Macaca fascicularis: one gene and its partner. The protein of the gene in region 2 purifies or fractionates together with the protein of the main gene of each other region. This does not show direct contact. Links are inferred from orthologs where the notes say so. Each region holds a gene or a part of one and is shown on either strand. Other genes may lie near its edges.

Region 1 (3,922 bases), on a different chromosome or scaffold from region 2:
CAGGTCTTTCCTTTTACTTTTGTCCCTACTTGGAATAATCTTCCTCCAAATGTTTTCATGACAGCTTCTTTCTCAGCATTCAGATCACTGCTTACATATCATCTCTTAGAGAAGCTTCTCCTGACCACTGTATCAAAAATAGTACCCTGACAATCTCTCCCCAACAAAGACCATTTTCATTCTCTCTTTAATCTCTTGAGCCTTCTTTATCTTCTATATGAACTTAACTCTACCTGAAATTACATTTGTTCCTCCACTCATCTCCTGTATCTCCCACTAAATACAACTCCACGAGTGGACAGACTTTGTTTGGGTCACAGTCATATCCTTAAGTAATCAGAACAGCTCTACATCATGGTAGCCACTTAATATATATTATTTGGTAAGTTAAAAAAAAAAAAAAGAATCTAATTGATTTGAAGGACTTCTAACTGGAAGAAATTAGGAAAAAATCTTACATGTTTATTGCTTATTGGTCTTTTCAAAAAAGCATCTCTAGAAATATGGTCCGCTGTTCTTGCCACATCTTCCAAAAATCGATAATCTAAAAATTTCAAAACAGAAGAATAAACAAATGACATACACCAATGGCCAGAAAGCCTCAATTTGCTATGCATAAAGTGGCTTACCACTTAGGAGATTCATTTCAGTAAACTGTTGTATTGAAACGTATGCAGTTTTATCTCGAACTCCATTACATGTCAGTTCTGCTTTGTGTTTCTTTACACAGGGCAAACTGAAAAGACAAAGGGGAAGTACTTTTATACTTTAGGGTAAGAAAGGTACAGATACAGGTTAAAAGGTAGGAAGTTACATGTATACCTGCAGGAATATCGCATACAACGTGGACATCTGTACTTTGCTTCTTCTGTACCACAAGTTTCACACCTGCAAAAGCCCACATGTAACATTAAATTATCAAATATTAACTCTATTTATTTATAAACTTAGAATGTCCCAACTTATAAACTTAGTGACAAGTAACTCTGAAAAAATATTTGATAGCTGTTGAACATCATTTGAAAATTCTCTATGAAACCTTCCCAAAACAACTACATTTCCAATGTTGTTAGTGACATAACTCAGGAAAATGTATTAAAATGTTTAAAACCCATCTTGCTTTTGACTTCTTTTTCTACTCTAATCAGGGAATGAGATTATTCACTGATATTTTAACTTGTGATTCCTGGAAATGCGGTAATGATTTTATGTGTGTGTATCCAGGAGTCCAATCCATGAGCTATGTTTAGATATTTTTAAAGCACACACTAGAAAAAGAATATAAGGCCAAGTGAAATTTAGAGAGTAGTAGTAGCATCTTTTTTCCTGAACTCCACACCTAATCTAGAATGAGCATCGAAATAATCTATAAATGCCATGTAACCCATCGTCTGTCCTCAACTGCTCTTCTATGCTCTTGGGATACTGACAACCAAACTACAGTTACTTATATTTAGCCCACTGTGTTCTAGAAGGTAATATTCCCAAGAATCTGACTACTCTTATTTCCTTTGTCACATGATCCACACACTAAGGAAATTAAATCAAAAGCAATAAATATTCACAGCACCCATGCAGAAGCTTGATAATTGAGGTCAAGTGTAATTTTGCCTAATTTTAACTTACTCTACGTTGTCATTGTTGGTTTTATTACACTTTCTCATCTCTATTCTCTCTCAAAGGAATACCGAGTAAAGAGCATATTAAGTTAAGCCAGATCCAGTTCCAAATGATCTTTTGGTCCCCAGAATTTTCACTTTCCTAACTTGCCCATTACCCATTGGACACTACCAACTTCATATATTTTCACTGAATTTGTTGTGTTGTCATCCACAACACCCTCCACTTCCCAACCCACCCCCACGAACGCCGTCTGCCTCCAGAAACCCAAACTTGTGCTTATTTTTCATTATTCCACCTTCTCCTGATAGTGTGGTTTCCTTCACTCTAGACATGAGGATTCCACAGCTTTATTCCCCTAAATGGAATTCCCCATGCCCTACCTTGACATGGCCAGTTTCCGCTTGCAACCCACCGGGTGATTTATCGGAGGCTCTTCTTTCACCTTTGTATCATCCACGGTTTCTTTCTTCAGGAAATCCTTCTCTTCTTTTACACACTCTCCATGCATCACTTCCTCTTTTATGTATTGACCAACAAACTTCTCCTCCTGTTTTATCTCCGAGTTATCCTTCTCTTCCTTCACTTCTGACCAGTCCATTACCTCTTCCTTTACCTTCTCTTCCTTTACCTCTGGGTCACCCACCTTCGCCTCTTTTACCACTAAACTACTATCCGTCTCCTGCTTCACCTCCAATACGCCTGCGTTCTCATCCTTCACCTCAGGCCTATCCTCCACCTCCTGTTTTACCCACTGGCCAGCCAATCTGCCTTCTGTATCTGGCCAGTCCATAATTTCTTGCTTCACTACCGTTAGGTCCATCGGTATTTCCTCTGGCCTTTGTCCACTTCCTTTCTCTCCATCCCCTATCTCCTTCATCCCTGTCAGCCCTTTCCCCTCCTCTCCGCCGCCGACCTCCTCCGCCCGTGCTAAGTCCCTGACTTCCTCCCTGCCAGGCTCTGGACTTAGCCGCACCCCCTCAGCTACGCTGTGGAGGCCTCCCCCAGACTTCCCTTCATTTTCAGCAGCAAACTCCATCAACTCACGATACTTGGCCTCTGTTGCCACTCTATCCTTCAATGTGGCTGCTGCACACCAATAGGCGGAATTACCGATCGGAATACCTACAGCGGCCCACGTGCAGAGCCAAGTAGCCAAAAGCCCGGAATAGTCAGCTTGACGCGACTGCTCGAATCGCCGTAAAGCAACGCTTTTGCGCCTCGACACTTCACGACTTGTAGAACTCTTTACGGCTCTGCGGAGGCCCTGCCGGATGCTCTGGGCCAACAAGCGTAACTGCGTGACTTGCCCAGTGGTATTCTCGTCTCCCGCCTGGTTTCCACTACACCCTTGCCCTAGGGAAGCCTCCTGGGCCACACCCTAGGCTACCCTGCACGCCCTACTCGGTGTGAAGAGTGGAGGAGACCGGCAGAGGGAGAGAAGCGAAACCCTTACACTCTGGAAATGGGAAAACCCACCTTCATCTGTGTTAACCATTAAATCCAATCTTGTATGAAAATAGACACACCTGATGTTACGCCTTTCCAAGCTTTGGTTTCTTAAAGCTATAAACTAGGGACCATGGTATTATTAATACAAATCTCAGTGTCATTGCGAAGATTATGAGATCATGCATGGGAATTAACTAGCAGTGACGGACACAAACTCAATAGATAACTGGGAATCCTGATGGGTTTCAAGTAGGAAAGAGGGCATTAATTTTTGTTTCCATTCTTTCTAAGTAACAGCCTGACGCAGGCATTCTGCAGGATTCTGCAGCATTTTGCAGGATTCTCTCAGAGAACATCATAAATATATTAGGTGAAAGTGCCTAATGCCCGATTTTGCTGAGTTGCATTGTATGAATTGCATTGTATGAATGTGGCACGTTTTTTCATGCATGTACCAGTTGGTGGGCATTTGCCTTGTTTCCCGTTTAGGCTATTACGAATAATTCTGCTTCCACATTCATATACAAGTATTTGTGTGGACGTGTTTACATTTCCCGTAAGTAAATAACTAGGAGTGGAATTGCTGGGCCATATAAATTTATGTTAATTTTTAAAGAAATGCCCAAACTGTTTTCCAAAGTAGCTATACCATTTTACATTCCCACTGGCTGAGGGTTCCTGTTTCTCTACATCCCTGCCAATTCTTAGTATTATCAATTATTTGATCATAGATGTGTAGTGATATGTCGTTGCGAATTTAATTTACATTTCGTTAATGTTATTAAATTACATTTCTTTAATGACTAATGATGTTGAACATCTTTTCATGTTCAACTGGCCACTTAGATAT
Region 2 (3,922 bases):
CTTTAATCAGCAATACTGGATAATAGCATACGATTGTTATAGCTTCAAAATTCCGAAGGAAAATGATTTTGAGTCTAAAACCGTAACTCAATTTAAAAAATTTTAAATTGAAGATTCAACATTTAATTACTTGAAGATACGCAGCAGCACACCAGAAAACTAATCCTGGGATGCAAGAGAAAGCAATCAGAAGAAAACAGTAAAACTCATAGTGGCCTAATAACTATTTACACATACAGGCCAAGATCCTAGAGATTAATCTAAAACTAAAATTGAATCTGATTACATCACAAGAAAAGGCTGAGGTGGGGAAGTGAAACAATGCTAAGGTTACTGACTTAATTGGAAGATGGGTGGAAGATATGGCTACTAACTAACTCTAAACATAAAGAAAAAAAGGTAATCACTAAAGAAATAGCAATAGGTTTAATTACTTCCAAACCACTGGAGGAAAAACAAGGAGAAAAAAAAATAACAATCAAGCCAATAAGATGACAAAATAAAAACAAGAAAGCATGATATACAGAAAATACAAAATAAGACAGCCAGGAATAGTCCAAATGTTTTAATAATCTCAATTAATATAAATGGATTAAATTTCCCAGAGCTGGTTTGACTAATTAAGGAAAATAGAAGTCAATTATAGAGGATATGAGAAAAAGTAAAGTATTTCAGTTATAAAAGGCACAACTCACCAATAGTCATGTAATGCTTACATTTCAGAAACTGATTAAATGAACAATAAGATAAGAATGTAGAAGGCAGAAAGTTTGAACAATTAACAAGCTAAATCCAAAAAAACCTGTACCCAAAACAGGCAAAGCACCCCTCTACCCACCCAAAACTCACAGAATATTTACAAATATTGACCATATAATTCCATAAGGTAGAAACCATACAGGTTATATTGTATCTGCTTAGAAATTTTAAATACACTTTGAATCTGAAATACCCATTAAAAATAAACAATAGTTACCATAGCTAAAGACATAGAGCCAACGGAGTACTCAGAGGAGTATTTTCAGTCCTAAATACATGTATTATCAGGAAACAAGAAAAACGGAAAAGAAAACTGTTTACATAATACACCTTAAGGCAGTGTGGGGATCAACAACATCCCTGGAGATACGGTCATCAGTGAAAGTAGTCCAGGAGTCCGTGACTTCATTTATTAACCATAAGCCTGTAAAATGTATATGCTAACTAGTAATAAAAGTGCAAACTGTGTTATATTTTAGAGTATCAACTCAGTTGTAACACTAGTTACTTCATCCTGATGAGATGGTTGGGAATCACATCTTTGAATATATCAAAATTAAACTGAGTTCCTTGAAGTCAGACATGGCCTCATTTATTTGTATACCTTTAATATAGGCACAATAGAGGTACCTGGAGTAAGCCCTCAACAGTGTTATATGAATTGAATTAATTAACGTATGAGGCAGATAATTTCCCAAAATATGGGGCTCACTGGAGGAGTAGGGTGAAACAGAATAAACAGATCTGTATGGTGGGTACAAGGCTGGAAAACACTGGCTAAACATGAATCTTCACCCCAGGTCTGTGACGTCACTAGGGTCACATGCCAGGTGTTCCAGGATTCTGGAGAGGATTTTACCAACATGGAGGAGCTATCAGATTTCTTACCTTTCTTCCTTGACAGCAAGATTCATGAACTTCAATAATCACAACATTAGGAAAAATTAATCTTCAACTATGACAGACTAATTAAAAAAAAAAAAATTTAGTCCTTTTTAGCTGTATGTCAAAAGGGCAGACCAATAGCTACAGCTAGTACAATGACTAGAACACAAGCTCAAATTCCCTGGTATTATAGGAGACAAAAAGATCTCAGTAGCTTTCATTTACTTTACAATTTTTAAAAAGTTTCAATTAAGTACTCCAATTGTATCTAAACATAAACAGAGGCCCCATCTGTATTAATATTTTAAACAGGCTGGGCGCGGTGGCTCAAGCCTGTAATCCCAGCACTTTGGGAGGCCGAGACGGGCGGATCACGAGGTCAGGAGATCGAGACCATCCTGGCTAACACAGTGAAACCCCGTCTCTACTAAAAAATACAAAAAACTAGCCGGGCGAGGTGGCGGGCGCCTATAGTCCCAGCTACTCGGGAGGCTGAGGCATGAGAATGGCGTAAACCCGGGAGGCAGAGCTTGCAGTGAGCTGAGATCCGGCCACTGCACTCCAGCCTGGGCGACAGAGCGAGACTCCGTCTCAAAAAAAAAAAAAAAAAAAAATTTTAAACATTCAATATTTGAGCTATGTAAGTCGTGCTAGTAGGTGAATTTAAACATGTCTTAAACAGGGAATACTAACATTTCGAAACCTTCTGACTGTATTAATTTGATCTGGTTTATTTTTAAAATATTCCCTGTTGCTACAGAACATCTTCCTTTTCTGCATTAAAAACAAAATGGCTGTATTTCTCTGCCCAACTTTGCTTAGCTGAATCAATCCTTTTAAAAGTTTTCTTCTTTACTGCTAAACCTATCTTCAATTCTTAACTGACACATCAGTCATTCTTACATGAGAACAATACATTAAAATAAATACAAAGAAAAAATTCTCCCAGCAAATACTAGATTCAATCCCAACAATATGGACACAGTCTTAAAAATCAGTTATGTATTTATTTGCATAGAACCAAAGGAAAGACTTAAAATTCCAACATACACCCTATGAGGCTTACAATTTAATTACAAATCCAGTTTTGAGGGAAAAAAGGGTTTTGGTTTTCCTCTACTAACGAGGATGATACTGTTTCACATGCTTCAGTTATGCATGCTGAAACATCAGACGCCTATACATCTTTACTTTTTGTAGAATTAGTATCCAGTCCAAAAAAGTCTTTTTTGATGATGTACCGAACACACTGCAAAATCACATTTCTTTCATGTCGAATGTCCGGAGCTAGAAGCTAAAAGACAATTTTAAAAAAGATTAGCTGGTAAATAAATTATATCTGGGAAATACAATCTAAAATACTGCATGTACCCTCTCCTCACAAAGAAGACAGAACAATAAGAAATATATATTATATTTACTATTTTGCTAAAAAACAATGCAAGAACATGTCCTTTTAAGTTACATCAAGACTATCTAGCTTTTTAAACAGTACTAATGCTTATATTTGGAGTCCTCTCTAAGAGTATCTAGCATAGGACATGAAAGTATTTAATAGTCTGCAATTCTTTTTTTTTTTTTTTGAGACAGAATTCTGCTCTTGTCACCCAGGCTGGAGTGCAATGCTGCGATCTCGGCTCACCGCAACCTCTGCCTCCCGGGTTCAAGCGATTCTCCTGCCTCAGCCTCCCAAGTAGCTGGGATTACAGGCATGCGCCACCACATCTGGCTAAAAAGTCTGCAATTCTTTAATCTAAAATGTCAAAGAGGATTGCCCAAACTCAAATTCATAAGCAGTCTAGAAACTGATAAGTACATCTATTTACATGTAACAATGAAAGTAGCAGTAAAAAATTCCAACATTCCTTGACTTTTATAACTTTCCATTTTTGTGCTTATTGTATTTTAAAAAAGCTAAAAATCCCTGGTATTCAGAATAAACACATAATCAAGGAATCATATGTAATTTGCCAAAAAGGATTTTATTTTCTGATGTTATTGACAGAGTTATACAGAAACTTTCAGTGGAAAGATTACTTAATTTACCGATTATAAGGTAACTTTTTAAATGTAATTTACTATCTATACAAAATGGAGCGTATATTTCAGATCCATTTTAATAGGAAGCAACTGTGTTTACACGTAGCACCTCAAGAGTGTAGCCACTGAACACTTTAGCTACAAAATAAGTACTTATCTTGTAAGTCAAAACCAAACAGACTTTTCACAGAATGTCAACTAAAAAATGTGGAATACGGCCGGGCGCGGTGGCTCAAGC

What was found.
Region 1: the proteins of NUFIP1 (region 2) and ZNHIT6 purify together in Homo sapiens (affinity purification with western blotting; 3 studies listed by BioGRID and IntAct, with this or other methods). This does not show direct contact. The link is inferred for Macaca fascicularis from reciprocal best matches to the Homo sapiens genes NUFIP1 and ZNHIT6.

Annotation. Positions count from the first base shown.
Region 1 is NC_088375.1:148,943,980-148,947,901, reverse strand, and holds the start of ZNHIT6 (box C/D snoRNA protein 1), read right to left. Parts: upstream 2,809-3,922; 5' UTR 2,660-2,808; coding exon 2,004-2,659; intron 889-2,003; coding exon 823-888; intron 737-822; coding exon 630-736; intron 545-629; coding exon 459-544; intron 1-458. UniProt on the Homo sapiens protein: Required for box C/D snoRNAs accumulation involved in snoRNA processing, snoRNA transport to the nucleolus and ribosome biogenesis.
Region 2 is NC_088391.1:24,179,017-24,182,938, forward strand, and holds the end of NUFIP1 (FMR1-interacting protein NUFIP1), read right to left. Parts: intron 2,939-3,922; coding exon 2,822-2,938; 3' UTR 551-2,821; downstream 1-550. UniProt on the Homo sapiens protein: Binds RNA.